2 linked regions of the Zea mays genome follow. The protein of the gene in region 2 interacts with the protein of the main gene of each other region in a pairwise test. Links are inferred from orthologs where the notes say so. Each region holds a gene or a part of one and is shown on either strand. Other genes may lie near its edges.

What was found.
Region 1: the proteins of transcription factor MYB21 (region 2) and uncharacterized protein LOC100285884 interact in a two-hybrid assay, tested with the Arabidopsis thaliana proteins (2 studies listed by BioGRID). The link is inferred for Zea mays from reciprocal best matches to the Arabidopsis thaliana genes MYB67 and AT5G57860.

The regions. Positions count from the first base shown.
Region 1 is NC_050102.1:179,108,151-179,119,297, reverse strand, and holds uncharacterized protein LOC100285884, read right to left. Parts: upstream 7,299-11,147; 5' UTR 7,118-7,298; intron 6,178-7,117; 5' UTR 6,168-6,177; coding exon 5,985-6,167; intron 5,368-5,984; coding exon 5,328-5,367; intron 4,782-5,327; coding exon 4,720-4,781; 3' UTR 4,390-4,719; downstream 1-4,389. Other genes in the region: P-loop containing nucleoside triphosphate hydrolase superfamily protein, read right to left, coding at 268-444, 542-697, 955-1,134, 1,560-1,818, 1,929-2,167, 2,264-2,266; DNA repair protein RAD51 homolog 4, read left to right, coding at 7,563-7,643, 8,115-8,236, 8,403-8,484, 8,864-8,999, 9,142-9,269, 9,341-9,431, 9,776-9,846.
Region 2 is NC_050102.1:156,547,101-156,557,500, forward strand, and holds transcription factor MYB21, read left to right. Parts: upstream 1-5,145; 5' UTR 5,146-5,270; coding exon 5,271-5,400; intron 5,401-5,501; coding exon 5,502-5,631; intron 5,632-5,757; coding exon 5,758-6,655; 3' UTR 6,656-6,859; downstream 6,860-10,400.

The DNA.
Region 1 (11,147 bases), about 23 Mb from region 2:
AATATGATGCCGAAACGTTATTATCTTTGGTCCAGAATTGTCTGATCTGATAGTCAGAAGCCAGCTATTCTTGGCCGCAATCTTATTGGCAGTCGTAATAACAATACAAAAAAAAGGAGAAAACTAGGAATATTTTCTACGATTCCATCTGCACTTGTGATCGTCATCTGTTGTCTTCATGCCTTGCTCTTTACAAACTCATCTGTACAAAAGAATTCTAAAGCATGTTTGCAACTACAACTCCAAATGCGAATAACCTGCCGTCCATCACTTGGCATAATCTGAACCATCAAGGAAGTGAGCAAACTCTGTCCCGTTCAGTTTGCTGCTAACTTCCTCCCAGTTCTTGACAAGGTCCGGAAGAGGCCTCGTGTGAATTTTCACCTGCCGGCTCATCAGCCTCCTCACCGGGACCCTGAGGAACTCTTGCACCCGGGATAATGCCTGCGTGCCCGAAACAAGAGATGCCATTGATATTAGTTAACCCAAGCACGTAATAATGGATTTTTTTTTCAGTAGGACATCTAATTGTGTTCAGTACATTGCTGTTGCTGATTATATCCTCATAATAGAGGATCATGTGCCGCGTACTCTTGAAGTGGTCCAAGCAATCTCTGATGGCCTTCTCGATGTTTCTGATGTTTGTAATTAGAGTCGACGTATCCAGATGTGGTTTGAATTTTGCTAATATCTCAGCCTGCACAAAATGAACTGCACTAATCAGAAAAGAAGTTGAGGTGTAGTATCAGCTTAGATGTAGTTTCTCTTTTCCCCACCAGTGTCTAATCAAAACCACAAATCTGCCATAAAATAAGTGATGTAGTATGTACTAAGCCACAACTCATGCATGTCAAATGAGATGTGGACAGCACTATGCTCAAAAGGATATATGGGACCAACAGAACAAAGCTATGGCAGTAAACGTGTTTGAAACTGTTTGTGCATCGAAGGTACCTCTTCTTTTGAGTGAACATGAGACTTGTGAGTTCCATTCAACTGCTTTGCATCTTTGTCATAGTCGTTGGCCAGCACAGATACAAGCCTGCGCAATGTGTTCCTCCTGAACAGAAATATCACGGAGACACCCTTCTTGTTCAAATAACTAACTATATCTTCAGGGTTTTCCAAAATTCCCTGGAAAAAAACACAATGCTGGAAGTTATGGCCAGGCACATATTTAACATATGGTAGGCATAAACATAACTCCAATCATTCTGATAAAAATGAGCATAACAAGGTCATCATTGTTAAGTGTTAACGAGCTTGGATGGTGAATTTTGCTTAGTACAGAGTTTTAAGAACTGCAACCGTAGGCATGTTAGTAGTTGGCACATAGGTCATAGCTTTGAGAAAAACATCCATATATGCAGTATGACAGAGTTGGATTATAGCTACAATTCTTTAAAAAAACCAAACTTTTGGTAAGGAAAATAAATCATATATAGGTTTGCCCAGGTTCCACCCACTAGAACTGTAGTTTATAGGCTAGTAACCACTGGCACAGACTCCTCATGTTATGCTGTTTCTTTTTTCCATTTAGAAAGCAATAGTTAAAGTACCTGATTAAGCATCCACTTCAGTCCAAATGCAGCTGTGCACTCATTCTTAGCGGCGCTGGTGAGCCAGTCCAAATTATACAGCGTATCAAGCGTTTGTAAGATAGACGATATATTTTCTCTTCTATCCATTCTGTTAAAGATTTCGCCATTGGAACTAATGTTAGGGTGACTATTCATCAAGGTCTCAAACCATCCACTTCCCGATCTTTGCATAGACACGATTACAAAGAACCGAACAGGAGTACACGAGCACTCCCCCCTGCAGCAGAAAGACAAAAAATATCAACATCAGCCACAAAATATACTGTACTACATAATTGAGGAATGCAAAGATTTTATATCTCCTCACAGTCAAGTGGTGGATCTTACCTGCTATAACTTGTAGGTTTTGGAAAGTGCACATAACTGAGCTCCTCATACGGCACATAAGGCTTTCTGCAAATATCGTCCCTTTGTTCTTCTCGACTATTCCCCTCTCTGTTGTTCTCTAGCGTTATCTGATTGAAGGAGAGATAGCATACATAGAAACCAAATGTCGCGATGAAGAAAACGAAGACTGGCCGTGGCAGAATTGGTGCTCCCTTGGAACTCTTAAGTGAATAAGGGTGCTGCAGGCGCAAACACAATTTCTAATGATCAGGCATTGCTGCTACCAGCAAGTATTGGGCACAGGTGAAATGTAGTCCAGGAGCACTGTGCTATACCATTTTCTGCTTGCAGCAGATGACTAGTGTCTAGGCTGATTTCTTGTTCTCCCACTTGAGCGCAGCGAGGAAGCATGTTTAGTCCTAATTGGCATCAGAAGCTCACCATGGGCCAGCGCGTCACAGTGCATCCTGGTAAACCAGATACAGATTTTACCGCCAGTCAGGCGTCACTGCGTCAGCTGCTGATAAAAGAAGCTCACCATGGGCCAGCGTAGTTGCCAATGCAGCGCTAATTGCAAATCTGGTTCAAGTAATGATGCTGAACAGAGTATACCAGCAACAAATAGTCCCAAAAGGTTGCGAGAGAAGAAAAAAAGCAAACGAGACCCTGAAATAGGATTCAGTAGAGACAGTAATGAGGGAGGCGAGGAGCAGATGAGAACCAGCTCCACTAAATGCGGGAATAACCTCTCATCAAAGCTCGCGACGCGGAGAAACCTAAGCAGCCGACAGAAATCCCTGGTGGGATTGCAATTTGCAACTCCGAAATGGCGAAGAACCCCCCGCGAGAAGAAGGGAGAGAAGATCCGAAGGCGGCTGGTTTTATACTCGAGGTGAGTGAGATTCAGCTCTAGAAGCAAGCCGGTCCCCAGAAACCCCAGCAACCAGAGGAGCAAGAGCAAAGCCAAGGTTCGGGTGCGAAGAATCACGAAGGTCCCCGCAGATGAGAGGAGCCTCAAGCAAGAAGAGACAGCTCTAACTCCCAAGTCCCAACAGCGAGATCACGTGAGCAACCTAACACGCGTCGCGGCGGAGGCGGGGAAGAATGGTCGTTACCTGCTTCGTCAGCTGGAGGCCGGAGCGCGGACTTCGACTTTGCCCGGCCTCGACCTCTCCTCGGATGTCGGATCCCGCTCTCACTCACAAGTCACAAACAAGAACAGGAGAATCGGGAAAAAAAGACGGTGCCGTAGGAATGCCTCTCGATCTCCTTCTTCAAGATGGTTTGAAACGTGGGCAAGGCCGCTTTCTTCTTTTCTTTTAAACTCAAAAAGCGCAAAGCGAACGAAAGCGAGGAGGGGCCATGGCATGGCATGGAATGGAGAGATGAACGAGTGCGTTTGCTGAACCTGGTCTTCGTGGACCATTTGCAAAAAAAATAAAAAAATAAAAAACCAGAAGAGGCTACCAATTTCTTCCGTTTGACTTTGGCGTCGACCAGGACGCGTACTCGGATCAAATTGCCTATGCTTAATTCTTGTTGTTCTGGAGTTATATAGACGGGTAATTTCTGTGGTTACTCCGCTCGTACTTGACTTATTTATTTATCTTCCGCTTCTTTGTTCGTTAAAAGGGCGCCTTAGTTAATTCCGATTTGACCGTTTTGTTTCTTTGTTCGAAACCATCCAGACCCCTTTAAGAACACAAAATAAAATTTACAAAAGCCATGTAAAAAATTTGTAGGAACCCAGTTTATTTTTTTTAGAAAAAAATATTCAAAACGGTGAAAAAAACATCCCGTGTCCTAAAGAGAAGCTTAACAATTTGGTCCTCTTTTGTTGAATGGGCGTGGGCGCGTGGCGTATGCAGGGGTGTGCATGTAGTTGAATTGTTATGCTCGTTTGGATGTCGAGGCCATGAAATTGAATTAGAGTGATAAATCATGGAAAAATATTGTGGATCACAATGTTTATTTGACTGTTCATGGGGAACACACACGGACAGCAACGCTGACTTCAGTTTGAGTAGGACGTTCCGTACGCGTCGTCTGCGTTCAAAACTTAATATGCAAGCAAAAAACAAACCCTCAGCGTTGAGTTGTTCAAAAAGTTGCTACTACCAAATCAAAAGCTGAAGCTCCTGAGAAGTCGCCTCTGTCACTTTCGCAAGAACTTTTGCAATCAAACGGCAAATTAAAAAACTTGTAGAACGGAAAGGGTGGACCAAAGTAGGCAACAATTCTGCCAAATTATGAAACTGACTTACAAAGGCAAAAAAAAAAAAAAAGAACCATTAATGTAAGAGCAGACGAAATCTGTCCAAACATTCACTAAAATTTTGCCCTGAGAAAGAGAAACCACAAGCCCAAAACTGTCGTCGTAATCTTGTGGCGCCAACCAAACGCGTTGCCCATTATGTGACCGACAGCGCAGTTGAATCGAGCAATGGGGCCAACCAGGAATGCCAGCAGCAACAGCGAGTGCATTAGGTGATGAAGGCACAGATGGATTCGCATACAACAGCTGGTACAAAAAAGGACAATTAGGTGCGCTCTGATCCCAACACCAAGACAGACACCAGTAGGTACAAGAAGCACGGCATCAGTTGGAGCGTCAAATCAAAGCTTAATATCATCCACAACGGTTGTTTGGGATCTCACATAAAAGATTTTCTTTTTCCTCCCAAAGGGACAAGCAAGCCACATCCCAGATTCTAGAAGAACCAGCATAGAGCGACGGTCCACTCCAAGAACGCGCAGTGGTCCCTTTGTAGAAATGATGGACTAATCTTTATCATGATGATGACATGAAATCCTCCGGCCTAGCGATGAAAACTTCCTCAAACTCACCGTCATCTGGTGAAGGAACAGAAATTACAGTCAGGAACTATCAGACCGAAAATGAAATAGCTATAGAAAGGGTAACCCACGGCGGAACAAGGAAAGCAAGAAGCTGCATTGAGTAGGTTGAGTTTTTAGAAAAGGACTAGCATCATGCATTCACTTTATTTAGAATAGGGACAACCTGCTGTTATGCTATGATAAACCACTTTGCAATCATAGATTCTTCTTAGCTTATTATTAACATAGAAATGAGGGAAAATGTGTAAATTTCTGCTAGAGAAAGAATGGCATCAGCAATAATATGGTTTGGTAGGTCAAACCCGCAGTCCAGAAGACAGATCAAGCTGCTGACTAGTGAATGATGACCTAAGACATAATATAAGGTATTTTCTACAAATGTAAACAGTTGCTGGGCAATAATCATAACCATCGAGTGGTATACTAAGAGTAAGCAAAAAAGAAAAGAAACATTAATAATGCAAAAGGCACTACCTGAAAGATAAGGAAAATAAAAAGTAGGCAAAAACCCATTAACAATTCAGCAAGTGAGCACGATACCTTTTCTTAGTGCCAATGCAACAATGGAATCGTTATCCACCTGAACAAGTATAAAAAAAGAAAATATCACGCAACTGGTAAAATGCAATAAACAAGCTGTGGGTTTAATCTTCAAAGAAAACCGATATGCTAAGGCTACACAAACTAAACTTAATGTGACTGAAAAAATAAATATCTGCATTAGCAAGCAGACTTCACTTATAGATGTTCTATGAGAATAATGAGACTGCACATTAGGCTAAGACCCCGTTTGTTTCCCTTCATTTTGAGGAATTAGAATCTAACTAATGGAATAGACTACTTTTTAGAATGTGATATTCCACAACTTTCTAAAGTTGATACATAAGCCTGTCTTAAATTCATGGAGTGAAAGATGAAAATTGATTTTATAGATTTGCATGCTACTTTTCCAATGTACAACTTATAGCACACTCTTCTACTTACTTCTCTATAGCATAAGTGTAGTGTATAACTATCTCATATGATTTAGGATAATATACAAATATATTACATATACAAATATATTAACTTAATTAGTTCGTGTCTAAATTATGATTATTAGAATCGAATTCAATTCCAACGAAACAAACGGGGCCTAAACAGAATCATCTTAGGAATAATATGTAAAGAAGCAGAAGCAGCTAGATGTAGGGGTACCTTTTGATCTGCCAAAGTCTTTGAGTCTTCAAGCACATCACTGCTAGGCCACAAGACCAACTGCTGACTACTAGGAGGTTGATCTATCAGCGAGTGCAACTTCTGTTTGATGCTCAAAGCTGTCTCTGTTGGTTCACATTGAATGAAGTAGGTACTCTTGTTGCGCTTCACTCGGATATACATGTTTGCAAGCCTGCACCGCACGGGATGCCTAAAAGTCATCAGTACACAGATAAGACGGAACCAGCAACAATAGGAAATATCTCTGCTTCCCTGAAACAATATTCGCTACTCCAGGAGCTGGAAAGTAGTAGCACTATAGTGATAAGCGTACTATATCTTAGGTGCTGTTTGATTCACCTATTTATTTGTAACGTGAACGGTAATAGATAACATTAAAAAACCATGTTTGTTTAAGTCCGTAATAACACTAGAAACTAATACCGTCTTATTCAAACTTGTTACAGCCGGTAATCGAACGTGAATCATTACAATTACCATTTATGTTACATTTCGTGAACCAAACCACACCTTAGTAACTAATACCCTAAAAATTGCTGAGGGCAATGAAAGCCAATGGTTGCATTGGACATGGATTATGTAAAAGGGCTAGGTAGGTGTTTGGTTTAAGAAATGAGCTAGTCCATCATCTTCTCACTCCTCACTATTTTTGTTTGGTTTGTGGAATGGAATGAGTTGATCCATCACCACCTCATTCCTCATAGTTAATTAGTTAGTACTAATATGAAGAATAGGGTCATCCCACCAAATTTGAGGAATAAACCCATGATGCACCACCTCAATTTGGATGTAGTGATTCCTTAAACCAAACACCCCCTAAATGAGCGGATCAATCATGCATACAAACACCCAGTACGCTAGAAAAAGGTACAAATAAATAACCATAGTGAAAACACAATAGAACAAACATAACAGGCACCGTGAACTGCCCTAAAATCATCAAATTATACTCGATCCCCAATGGTTCTTGAAGCAAAGTGACTACACAATACTCCGTAACGGGGAAGACCTATGCGCAAGAACTGCCCGCGGAGACCCCAGCTACTCTCGTACACCAACGAACGGAACACACAACAGTTGGTCAGATCTGCGAGCCGGGAAATGAGACGCACCCAGCGGATCGTCGATCTGTATTCCCCTGTGGTGGGACGCCGGTCGGAGGAGCCGACGGCGGACGCGCGCGTTGACGAGCTAGACGCCGAGGAGCCGGGAGACGGAGACGAGCCGCGGCGGATGGCTGGAAGCGAGGCCGAGGGTGGGGGAGAAGGGAAAGGATGCTGCGCTATTCAGCGCATTGGGCTATTGGGCCTGTCATTGTGCTTAGGAATTCCTTGTGCTTACCTTCGCTACAAATAATCAAAGTGGGCCGGCCCAGTACTCAGTCTCGGCTTCTTCGTTTTCCTTCGCCCGACGCGGCCGCCGCCGTTCCCGCTCGGTCCCGGGGTTCCGTAGGGGCAGGCGTCCTATCTTGCCCTAGTGGTTACCTTCCAGGGGCACCGCGTGCTGGTGGAGGTCTCCAACGGTAGTGTCCGTGGAAGACAGTTACTCGGCGCCGTCATGGCGGCGGCCGGTGGCGGAAGGGAAGCCACCACATCCGGCTGTGGTCTCAAGCGCCGCTACGCACCACACGACCAGGAGGTTCGCATTCTTCCTTTTCTTCTTGTGACACTGCTGCTTCTAGTATTTGCTCGCCTGCTATCAACGCATCACGCATGAATGTTTGTTGTACTAGAAATGTTAGTCTGACTGATGCTACACACTGCGCATGACGTTGCGTTCGACTTGCTAGTGGGGAGAGGAGTCCATCATAACATTTAGAAGTAAAAATTGAATATCAAGGGATTTTCTCCCCCTCAATCCTCTCCAATTCCCTTGTCACCAAACCAGCCCTTAGAAGTACAAATGACCTTCTCCGCAATATCAAAAACCCACAAGTAACTGGTCCACTAACTGGAAATCCGTCGCAAATTGAATTGAGGGGTTGCAAGTAACAACATAATGCGGCAATTGTCAACCAATAGAGCTGAGTTGACGACACATTGGGGTAGCGAAGAAATTTTGTACTACTGAATCACGGACTGTTTTCCATCCATGATATAATACACACAGGAGGAGACGATGAATCAAGATCAGCCTTCTAAGGAAGATCGGTGTGGGCGAATTTGGAGTGGGATCGACTTGCTCAAGGACGTCACTGAAAACAAGCATGTCCTACCTACTGGACTTGAAGGGTACTTCTACCTTGAACATATACATACTCATGCCTTCTCTGTTCAGTCTTCATCTCATATTTGCTATGTTAACACCCTCGTTTATATTACTTTTTGTGATTAATATGATCCTAGTATCATTTGTGACCTTTCATTTTTTTGAAGCATGTGGTCTTTCAATTGACAGCATTGACAGACTTCTTGGGGGCGGGCTGCGCCAAGGTCAGCTCACAGAGGTTACTGGACCATCATCTTCTGGTAAAACACAGGTGAGAAGATGAGTTATCTTTTTATACACACTTAAAATGCTCATGGTTACGGCAACGACTGCTATGCAAGCAGTGCTTCTGTGCAAGCGTGCAAGCAAACCATCTGATCCATTAGATCGTGATCCAACCGTAAGTCACATTTAACACTTAAACCCTTCCACCACCAGCTCAATAATCTTTATAAAAAAACCCCTAACAAACCAGTGGTTGTATCTGTGGTTGGATCGTAATCTAATGGATCAGATGGTTTGCTTGCACGTTTGCACAGAAGCACTGTTTGCATAGCAGTCGTTGCCCATGGTTACTGCTTGGAATGATTTTGTTGGAACTATTATGGGCTAAATCATAGTCATGCTCTTACATATATACCATTTTTCAGGTTTGTCTACATTCTGCTTCACATGCTCCAGTGAAGCATACGGGTGTGGTTATGTACTTGGATACTAGTAATTCTTTCTCTCCTAGTCGTATTGCCACCATAATTGATGGAACTAACGACCTATCTGATCAAAAAGGTAGACAATCAACCATATGTCTAGCCTACTCTTGCCTTTTGTCATTCTTTGAGTTCTCATAATTTATTTCAATTCTCCAGCAGTTTCTTGGCAAAAGTTTTACCATATGTTTTATATATAGCTTAAGATCTACAGTAATCAGGTTTTGACTTGCTGTCTAAGGAGAGGCTCAAGACTGTGATGCAAAGCATCATCTGCGAGTCTGTGTTTGATATATTTGGTATGTTTGAAGTACTACATCAACTTGAAGTTTCTCTACTGAATGAAAAGGTATGAGTGAAGTATTGCATATGGTTTCAGATTTCTTGTCAAATACTTCTCTCACCTGGCACGTGTAACAGGTAATAGGTGATGGCAGGAGAATTTGCTTACTTATAATTGACTCAATATCATCCTTACTTGCTCCCATTATTGGAGGCAAGTATCCACAAGGTACCGCCTTCATAGCCTTATCTACAATCCTCCCCTTTTGGCATGACATAAGTTGTACATTAGCACTGCATGCATACAGTAAATCAGACTTTATGTAGTGATATTGAGAGGTTGAGATAAATTAGATATGATTCTGTGAGTTTGGAACTGAATCGGATCGGTGCTTATGCAAGATAGCTTATGAATTTAGTATAAACTTAATAATAATATCTACGGTGCAACTGCTAATTTATAATTTTAGCTGGTCATAAATTGAATTCCCTGTTATTGCTTCCTAAGAGGAAGGCATCCTTAATTCACAGCTTTTGGCTCTTTTCTCTGAACCTGTATTAATAAACTGACAGGGCGATCGATGATGATATCACTGGCGATGATCCTAAAGAAGTTAGCCTATGAGCATAATCTAGCTGTTCTGGTAATTTTTTTGAACCCCAGTTTTTGGTAAGCATTCATGGAATGCTAATTGCATGCTCTGAAATGAGCATGTTTGGAGCAATTGAGACTAGTTCACTTGGTGTAGCACCACTTAGATTCAAATTCAACTCTTTGGGTTGAAAGTTGAAACTGCTTGTTAATATGAATATACCTTTTTTAAAAAAAATCTATCATTTTGATTTGTCATGGGTATACAATATATGTATTCAGTTTATTTGTCAAATTTGTCATGCAACTATGCAATCTTGACTCAGTAATACTCTTGTTTGCATGCATGGAGAAAATAGGAACTGATATCGTGGTGATTATCTTGAAAATGATGCTGAATAATATAACACCTGAAATTGCACGCTGAATATTGTTTGACCTTATTCAATAGGCTGAATTTATATGGTGTTTGGTCTTGAATTTGCATGATGTTTGATCTGAAGAAAAGTACATGCAAATAAATTGCGCTTTCAGGTGCTTGGTCTTGAATTTGTATACTACCTTCCACTCCTTAAACAGTTCAACATGGCCAAGCATGCAGAAAGCTGCTTACTTTTCCATTAAAGAATAAAACATCAAAGTTCAGAGAAAATCACACGAACAAATGAGATTACATACGGGCTGTTTAAACATAAAAGTGACAACCACAAAACAGCTGTCTGTAGTTAATTTCTGTAATCTGCACCTGCATAACACCACAAGGCTCCTTTCTCTAAAATGGTTCTAGTTACCAGCCACACATTCGTCCCATTAAAAACAGTCATTATGATGTTTCCAAATTTGTGAAGCAACTAGAATAAACAAATAATTGAGCCCCTTAATTACTTGTCAACTTGTTTAAGATCTTGGCTCCACCATGAGCAGAAAGGTGTAGAGTTCAGCTCCTGTTGCAGACCCCAGCCAGTGGAGAACGACAATCCATGCTTGCCTAGAGAAGACACATAAAATCAGCAAGTGCTGCATAGTCTCATCCCTTTGATCGCATAATGCACAGCAGTTGGGGTGCGGTAGTTTACATTTGGCAAACCTATCTGTTGTCCAACTGTGATTGTGAATGGCCAAGAATTTGCGGTGCAAAGAAACCCAAGGTTTCTAAGTACACTCCCATGGAGCAAACCTATATTGTGGCCACAAAGAAAGCGATATAGGCTGCTTTGGAGGAGCAGCAACAAGATTTTGCCAAATTCCATATTTGATGGTTTTGTCATGGGTGTCCATTGCTAATGTACTTCGTGGGAATCAGGCCACAAAAAAATATGTTGCAGTTTCTTGTTTCCCTACTCCATTTTCCCT
Region 2 (10,400 bases):
ACTGGATTGGTTGAGGTTTCTTGTGACATTGTGTTTGATGAGATTAATGGCTCTCAAGTGGAGCAAGTTGATCTTGATAAATTAGATGATGAAGAGGCTCCATGCATCGCGCTAAGGAACATGTCCATTGGGGATGTGTGTCCTAAGGAATCCGAAGAGCGTACTCAAGCACAAGATCAACAATAATCTTCCAACCAAGCATCTCCACCAACCCAAGATGAGGAACAAGCTCAAGATGATGAGGATGAAAATTAAGAAGATGAGCCATCTCAAGAGGAGGGCATGGATCAAGGGGGAGATGAAGATAATGAAGACAAGTAAGATGATCAAGAAATTCAGGGTCAAAGACAGCCACACCCAAGAGTCCACCAAGCAATTCAACGAGATCACCCCGTCAACTCCATCCTTGGTGACATTCATAAGGGGGTAACCACTAGATCTCGAGTTGCTCATTTCTGTGAACATTACTCTTTTGTGTCCTCTATTGAGCCATACAGGATAGAGGATGCACTAAGAGATCCGGATTGGGTGGTGGCTATGCAAGAGGAGATCAACAGCTTCACAAGGAATGATGTATGGCATTTAGTTCCACGTCCTAATCAAAATGTTGTAGGTACCAAGTGGGTATTTGTAAGTGCAATCAACCCCAAGTGAGGGTTTTGGTGATTTAATGACAAAACAAATAAGGGTACTAACAGTTTTTGTTCTAAGTGTTTGATTAGAAGGAAACAAGAACTTAAGGAAGCACCAAGGACTTCATGCAACGGACGTATAAAAATTTATGTAAAATCTTGTGTTGCATGATGTAATTTTTCCTTGTTCTTTTCCGCACAGGTATAGGTGTTTGCTATAGCTCAAGTCCTCTAATTCAAAAGCTATTTTTTGAAAACCAAAAATCAATTTAACATTATTTGGTTGACCATGGTTTGGGTTGAGAAACCTAGAGTGTTCTTGCTGAAAAGCAGCTGAACTTCTTCAACTGCAGCTGAGCTTTCCAGCTGAACTTAACTTCAGCTGTGATGAGCTTCTTCAGCTGCAGCTGAGCTTTTCAGCTGAGCTGGACTTTAGCTGAGTTGAACTTTCAACTCCAGCTGAATTTCAACTTCAGCTGTGGACCTCTTTGACCATACCTAGCTGAACTTGCCCCTGGGCAGCTGAGCTGTGGTTTTCTCTCCAAAACTCTCTGGTCTAGACCAGCTGAACTGGTCCTGGGGGGTAGCTCAATTGGTCTCTGACCCTCTGACTTCTGATCTGCAGTCTGCCAGTCAGACTGGCAATCAGGTCGCCAGGGGTGTTCGGGGGCGGTTCAACCGCCCTAGGGGGCGGTTCAACCGGTCCTGGCCTGTCTGACCCGCCTGCAGGTCAGTCTGCCAGTCAGTCTGGCAGTCAGACTGGCAGACAGACTGCTGATTTGTCAGGGGGCGGTTCAACCGGTTTTCAGCGGGGTTTTTGGTCAAACGACTAGTTTTTGAGCCGTGACTATAAATAGACCCCTCTCTCTCTCTTCTTCAATACGGCTGAACACTCACTCATTTATTGCTCACCTAACTTGAGACAAAGCACTCATCTCTCCATCTCACTCACACTTAAATCTCCCTCAAGATTCAACCTTGTTGGAGGAGCTCTTGGGTGTGAGGTTTGTGCTTGTGCTCACGATTTGGTTTTCCTCTCCCATCTCTTTTACAAAGACTTGAGCTTGTGCAAACCCCTCTTGTGCGTTCTTGGTGTTCTTGAAACCCTAGGTTTCAAGATCTTTTGAGGTTGCTTGGGAGTCTCCAAATTTGTGGACGACCCCAAGAAGTTTGTATCACCCGCTCTTTGAGCTAAGATAAGAAGAGATTGCCTTGACCTTTGTGGTCGGCTTTTGGAGGATTAGGGTTGAAAAAGACCCGGCCCTTTGTGGGCTCCTCAACGGGGAGTAGGACACCTTTGTGGTGTGGCCGAACCTCGGATTAAATCTTGTGTCTTGTGTTCTTGCTTGTTTTAACTTGAGATATTTTTACTTGCAAGATTGACATAAAGATTTTTTCGTAGAGTTTATCTAGAAGTAAAATAGCCTTTACATATTCATCTTTTCATCCTCACTTAGCTATATCTTACTTCTCTCAAGAACTTGCAAAATACTTTTTCGAGTAGATTTTAGTCTAAAGTTTATAAAACAGTTGGATTGGTTCAGAGTGGTTCAACTTGCGCACGTAGCTGTTGAACCGGCCTGCACCAGTCGAACTGTGAATCTAACAATCTTTCGAAGTTTGTTGTGAAAATTTTCAGATTAGCCTATTCACCCCCCCTCTAGGCTACTTTCAGTATTCCGCAACAAGCAAGATGAGCATGCTGTGGTGAAAAGGAACAAAACCCGACTTGTGGCCAAATGTTATTTATAAGTCGAAGGTTTGGACTTTGATGAAACTTATGCACCCATAGCTAGGCTTGAATCAATTCACATATTACTTGCCTATGCTACTTATCATGGCTTTAAGCTTGAACAAATGGACGTGGAAAGTGCCTTCCTTAATGGACCCATCAAGGAAGAGGTATATGTTGAGCAACCTCCTGGCTTTGAAGATAGTGAGTACCCTAACCATGTGTACAGACTCTCAAAGGCGCTTTATGGTATCTATCTCAAAACCCTCTTGAAAGCTAAGAGGAGAATTTCATTCAGGGAGAGTTTTTATCTAGTCAAAGGAAAAGCATTTGAAACAGGGGGAGAAATTTCAAATCTTAAAAATGCTTATTGCAATATCATTCCTATACCTTTGACTATTTGCAAAAACAAAACAAGTGGTGCAAATGTGGTCTAAAATGTTAAATAAAAGAAAAACAATCCATTCATACTTTGTGAGATTTTCAATTGGTTTAACTCCAAGCAACCTATGCAGATTCTAAATGCAAACTAGTTATATTCCTGCACTTTATATTTACTTTGGTTTGTGTTGGCATCAATCACCAAAAAGGGGGAGATTGAAAGGGAAATTGGGTTAACCATTTCCTATAATTAATTTTGGTGATTGATAATCAACACAAACACATGGACTAACTAGTTTGTCTAGAATTCATGTATTACAGGTGCATAAGGTTCAACACAAACCAAGAAAGAACCAAGTTAGGGACACAATTTTATTGGAGCAAAAGGACTTGAGTGTGCTGAAGATTGGCGCACCGGACTGTCTAGTGTGCCACCGGACAGTGTCCGGTGTGCCACGCCCGTACAACTCCAAACCAGTCACTCTCGGGAATTCCAGGACGCGCTCCGCTATAATTCACCGGACTATCCGATGAGCCAGCGGAGCAATGGCTATCCAGCGCCAACGGTCGACTGCAAAAGCGCCTGCCACGATGAACAGTGCGCGACAGAGTCAAAGCAGCAAAGTCAAAGGGCACCGGACTGTCCGTTGTGGCACCGGACTGTCCGGTGCCGCAAGAAGACAAAGTCTCCAACGGTCGACCAGCTCTAAACCCTAACAGTTGGTTGGCGTGGCGGCGCACCGGACAGCGCACAGTACCTGTCCGGTGGCGCACCAGACTATCCGGTGCGCCCATCGCTAGCAGCCTTGGCCAACGGCTACAAGGTGGCGCACCGGACTGTCCGGTGCGCCCATCGCCCAACCACCACATCTTTTGGCATCCAAGTTTTTCAGAGATCACATTCAATACAAGAGCTAATGCATTCACTACAAGACACATTTCCAAAAGATCAAACCCTCTCCAAGTCTAGAATTCATCTCAACCATTTAGTGACTTGAGAGAGTGTGTGTTCGTGTTCTTTTGCGCTCTTGTTTCTTGGATTGCCTTTCTTCTTTTCCCATTCTTATTCTCAAATTCTTTGTAAGCGAAGTAAGAGACACCAAGTGTGTGGTGGTCCTTGCAGGGTCTTAGTGACCCGTGAGATTAAGGAAGAAGGCTCACTCGGTCTAAGTGACCGTTTGAGAGAGGGAAAGGGTTGAAATAGACCCGGTCTTTGTGTCCTCCTCAACGGGGACTAGGTTCTTTGAAACCGAACCTCAGTAAAACAAATCACCGTGTTCACTCGTTTGATTCTTGATTGATTTGTTTTCCCCTCTCTTCCGGACTTGAATTTAATCCTAACGCTAACCCCGGCTTGTAGTGTGTGTTTAAAGTTATAAATTTCAGGTTTCGCCTATTCACCCACCCTCTAGGCGACTTTCAGATTTAAAATCGAAAAAGTTGTCAACTACAAAATTTTATAACTTCTCGAGACATGCAACTTTCATTTCGGTGTTTTTTTCCATTCGAGGTCATTTGAAAAATTCGAATTTTAATTTTTTTGAATTCATACGTAGTTTTTCGTTGACAAGATGACTCCAAATTAAAAAGTTGCCAACTATAAAATTCCAAAACTTCTCAAGATCTACAAAGTTTATTTTAGTTATTTTGTCATCTATTCATCCAACATGGTGGTTCTAACATTGTTCACAAATCTTATACATCTCTCTTGTAGTTTACGAAACTACAAGAGAGATAAATTTTGCGAACAAATATAATTTTATTTTGTCATATGAAGAAACGACCAATGCAAATAGAAATTGTACATCTTAAATGAGTTATACAACTTTATAGTTGAAAACCTTTTTATTTGAATTGATTTACTGCTTTAAAATGTTGTTCGAAAATTGTTTTTGCCTAGTCGTATCGGAAAAAACACTCAGTAAAGAAACTATTTGCATAGTGTAAAACAACACTCGGCAAAGAGCAGCAAATAAGCTCTTTGCTAAGTGTTTTTTTTACCGAGCATTTTTTATGGGGTACTCGATAAAATAACTCTTTGCCGGGTGTCTGGAAAAAACACTTGGTAAACCATTGGCACTCCAAAGAACCGGATTCTAATAAAGAGGTCATGGATTCCTAGCCACGTCTAAGTTTTTGGTTGACTAGTATACTCCATTATATTTGACCATATATGTGTGTGTTTACAAAGCCATATTTCTATATGTATATGCATGGCTTATGTCCAATCTAGTTTTGTAATTTGTTTTGACGTATCGGTTAAAAGGGAACCAGTAGAAGAGTGTGCTGCTTGCTTAGTGGCCTAATTGCAATAAATCTACCATTGTGAGAGATCGGACAACTTTATTTGGTGTATTTCCTTCTCCCGCACACAGAGATGCATAAAGGTCAATTCACCAGCAAAAGGGGTGTGCCTTTGTGCGTGTGCTTCAGGCTTTACATACACCGTTGGGGGAGAGGAGGTAGGGTGAGGAGAGGAAACTGCTGGAGAGGGTGAGAGCAAGGGGAGCAGCGGTCGGGCAGCCATGGGGCACCACTGCTGCAGCAAGCAGAAGGTGAAGCGTGGGCTGTGGTCGCCGGAGGAGGACGAGAAGCTTGTCAAGTACATCACCGCCCACGGCCACAGCTGCTGGAGCGCCGTTCCCAAGCATGCCGGTATGCTCCGGCCACCCATCCTAGCCAGTAATTCAAAGAAGAAATTGGATTTGTTCACGTCCTGACAGTGGCGTGCTGTGCTGTTGCCAAATCGGCCACAGGGCTGCAGCGCTGCGGCAAGAGCTGCCGCCTCCGGTGGATCAACTACCTCCGGCCGGACCTGAAGCGCGGAACCTTCTCCGACCACGAGGAGCGCACCATCATCGACGTCCACCGCATCCTCGGGAACCGGTACGTACGGGCATACTTCTTGCCGTCTATCTTGCTCCCTGCTAACTAGTGACTCACCGGGGCCATGGTGCCATGCCTCGTCTGGTCTGTGCGCGGCGCGCATGCCAACTCCGATCCAACTCACAGATGGGCGCAGATCGCCAAGCACCTGCCCGGGCGCACGGATAACGAGGTCAAGAACTTCTGGAACTCGTGCATCAAGAAGAAGCTCATCGCGCAGGGCCTCGACCCCAAGACCCACAACCTCCTGCCGGCCTCCAGGACTCTCCTCCACGGCAACGGGGCAAACCCTAGCAGCAACAATCCTGCCCACTTCAACTCAAACGGCTGCGCTGCTGTCGTCTCCGTCGCCACGACGCCCTTCACCATCAGCTCCCCGACCAAGGCCGCCGCCTACGGCACCGTCACGGCCACGCCGCCGCCGGAGACGATGGCGCCGGCAACGTACGACGTCCCTAATAATTACCCTGACGGCATGCTCATGAGGCATGATCAGGCAGCCACGGCGGCTGCGATTCCGGGATACCCGTACCACCCCGGAAACGGCGGCGGCGTGCTGATGAGCTTCAGGGACCAGAATGCTGGTCTCCAGACATCTGTGGACTTCGTGAACGGCTCCTCGTCCTCCTCCTCCATGGATCACGCCGCCGGCATGCCTAACGGCAACGGCTTTAGCCAACAAGGCATGGGCGCGGCCTTCATGGACGTGACGGCGGGAATGTGGAGCACCGCAGCCGTGGATTCTGGCATGTGTGCAGGGATGGAAGTGGCTCAGCCACCGCCGCCGCCGCCGCAGCAGCCGCTGCCACCACAAGGGCTGGTGCAGGGGGAGGTGCTCGTCGGCCGACAAACTGTGATGAACGGTGGCGGTGCAGTTGCTGACAAGGGCATGGACATGATGGACGTCTCTTCAGTGTATGGCGGCGCCGGTGCAATGGCGTTCGATCTGGAGCTGATGGAGTCATGCGCGTTGTTTTGCGGCAGCACCGGCAACACCATGGAGCAGCTGCAATGGGACTGCTAAGCTCACTATCGTCCTTACCCCTAATTAGTTTGTTGTCTTCCATGCTTCATCCATGTCTTTATTTTTCCTCTTAATTTTGATGTTCGATTTACTGGGTTCTTGATTCAGATCGTCCTTTTAAAGCAAGAAATCCATGCTGAGCTTAGTGACGAACTCGATCTAATTCAGATTTCAATAAAGTTATCTCAAATTTTATTGATTGCATACGCTCATTAGTCATTATTTGTTGATTTCTTCACCGTGTGGTCGTCTAGCTCTTCTGAAGTTTTACCTTTGCAAGCAAACTGGTAACGAACGGCAGCAGAAATCACACTTCTGAGCTCTGAGCACAACACACACACCAATCTTTATCTTTCTGCAGTCTTTTCTTGCACTGCAGTCAACTCATGCAAGAGGAACAAGTCAGTTACCAGTTGGCAGCAACAACACACATATACGTTTCAACCTTTTAGTGCAAGGAAAGTTGTTGAAATTTGTCAATTTATGCAGAGGCACACAAGTTTCTCCAACAAAAAATGTACTTTACATATACTGCTTGCAACAACACCTTTCGTCTCATCCAAGTATAACCCTATGTTATTTTAGTGATTTTGCAAAGCATATATATGCATGCATTGCACAAAGAAACAAATTACTTCAATTTAAAAGGAAAAATGAGAAGTACTTCAAGCATGAATTCACTAACAAACATTGCATGCACATCATTGCAACCTTTCATGATATAAAAAAACAATTGACCTTCCATCTACGATGATCCTGCAGCAAATTAGTGGACAAGATGCAACTATAATGCAAATGCAGTGAAATATGAGTGGTTCCATACTAGAATGTGAACTAAGAACTAAATGAAAAATGCCAGTCAAATTTTGAAAGGTTTGCTTACATCCAATTAGTCCATGGCCCATGCATTACAAAAGATGATGTACCAAAAGCAATAACGAATGGCACATAAAATACTGTTGAATTCAGTAATCATATCTGTATAGCTATACTGCTAGTAGAGGAATGTGTTCGTTCATCAGCCTTGTATATTAAGATATATATATTTAATGTAAGAGCATAATGTATATGTGGGGCGCTATACTGATTTTTGTAAAGCTTATCCATGCATGCACCTACTCTTTATTTGGACAATAGAAGAATGTGGCGCAAAAAGTATATAATATATATGGATGGGATACACACATATGTATGTATCTACATAAAGTTTTGCATAGCAAGTAGACTTAGGGCACGTTTGGTTACTTTATTCCAGGGACTAAAATTTAGTTAGGAAACTAAAGTTTAGTCCCTACCATGTTTGGTTATAGAGACTAAAAGTATTCAGAACGCATTAAAGGAATCATAAGGGGACCGAAATATCACTTAGCATTCTCTTGTCATTAGTGCAACTAAAATAAAGGAGGGGCAAAAGGTGGAATCAATATGGTTTAGTCCTTTTTAGTCATCCCTTGAGGGACTATAGACTAAAACAGTTTAGTTCCTGGTCCCACCGTTTGTCAACTTAGGGACGAAATGGGACTAAAATGGAGATACTAATCTTTAATCCCTCAAACCAAACAGGACCTTAGGTCATATTTGTTTCTCTCGTAGATTATATAAGTTGAATTATGGTGGAAGAGTAGGAGGTTAAAATATTACTTTGGGTCACAAATAAGCTGAAATAAGCTACCCAATGCTAGCTTATTTCAATTTATTTATAATCTCAAAGTGATATTTTACTCTCCTACCCTTTTACCATAATCCAACGTATATAATCTAGTAGAAAAACAAGCACACCCTTATTGCAAGTAGTGCATTTTGCAAATGGAGGATAACTAGCTACTTGATCCAGAGTGCCAGACTAGATCAATAGTTTAGGCAAACAAACTTGTATGTTGAATGTACCGACTACCGAGTGGTATAAATGTGTGTAATCCCTCCTTTTATAAAATACTTGCATGTTGAGCATCCATGCATGTCAAAGAGTCCAAGCACTGTGGCTGGTGCGCATGATCTGAGATCTGCGGTCGAGGTTTAACGATGACGTGCAACACTAGTCCTCCGATCAAATCGGACCGCCCACGCTACCCTGTCCGAAACGGTGCTCTCAATCAGATATGAGCCGCCCAACTCGTGATCAATGGTCTACGACGCCCCTAGCTGCGATGACGCCGGCGACGACCGCGAACACCAAACACGCGGCGGCGCCATTGCCGCCTGTGGTTTGCCGACCCCTCAGATCATGGAGGTGCTAATCGTCGAGACTCATGGAGGTGCTAATCGTCGAGAATAACCCTTTGTTGATGTTGTCCCACAGCGCGGGGCGGCAACCCCGCCATGCCCACAACAGCAAGCGGTGCCCCAACTTACCCGAAGCCCGGAAACCACAGATTAAGGTACCAATACTTGCGGGAGAACGTGAGGAGACAGTGGTGACACTTACAAACGATTTTGACACCCGATTCGAGGGATTTCCCAACCCACGGCGCCGCGATGGTGATGATGGTCACCGGCGAGGGGATCTAAGTGCTCGGTCGCACCACCCGTTGATTAATATCCCGTCGCGACACTCAGACGGCATGGCCAGCAACCGAGAAGCACGACAGGAGATCGAGACTCAACGTCGGCGACGATTTACAGCGATGGCCCCGAACCCTCTTCTCTCTTGGTTCTCTCGGTGGACAGAGGCTAAATCGAGCCGGACGAGTCAAGCGGGCACCCGAACACCCCTGTTCTTATAGGGGTTGCACGGCTAGCACAAATTCTCCCCTCGAGACCGGCATACATTGCGGGGAGTTGTTGCAACAACCCCGGCGTCAGCGCACGTGAAGGAGACGAGCCTGCGCGCACGGCCCACCTGTCAGCGAAAAGGTAATCGTGCGCGCGAACAAGCCCCACTGGCACGGGGGCCCAGGCGTCAGCGATGTGAGGCCGAAGTGCACGCGGGCGGTCGGCTGACACTGCGGACCCACCGGCAGCCGCTGGCTTGCGGAGTCAAGGTGCGCACGAGTAATGGGCCAAATGGGTCGCTGGCGCGTGCAAGAGGGAAGAAAGAGATGGGTCAATTTCAAGGATTTGGTCCAATTTGTATTTTCTTTTCCTTTTCTTTTTCTTGCCTTTATTTCTTTGTTTTATTTCTATGGCTTCATTTCAATTCCCAATTTCACAAAGTCAAGTGCAACAGTAAAGAATTCAGCATGGAATAATTATTCATGGCCTAGCTTGATCTCATTATTTGGATATGCAAAAAAGAGAAAAAGGAACCAAGTAATCCCATGGTCTTTAATATTTCCAAGACTTTATAAATTTTTAAACCCCAAAATTTGGGTATTACATGGGGTTGGCTTCCAATCCGGGAGCCAAAACAACATCAAACTTAATGCCCATAGAAACAAGATTTCCAATTTTGTTAAGGGCAAGGATCCCATGGTAAAAGATAGATAAGGTTACATTTTATATCCTGAAAACTATCCTGAGCATAAGATTAAAAGAATTCATGCTAAGAAATCCCATCATTTTGCTCATCATGCTTATATTTACAGTAATGAGACTTCTAGTTCTAGGCATACAACTCATATTAAGATGCCTAAGAAAAGATTGTTGATGCATCAAATGAACATAGCATTTCATTTAAGACCTTTGATGCATCCTTTGTTCTTACTAACAAATCCAGCAAAGTAGTTGCCAAATATATTGAGGGCAAACACAAGAGTCCAAAGACTTGTGTTTGGGTATCCAAGGAGCTTGTTTCTAATGTGAAAGG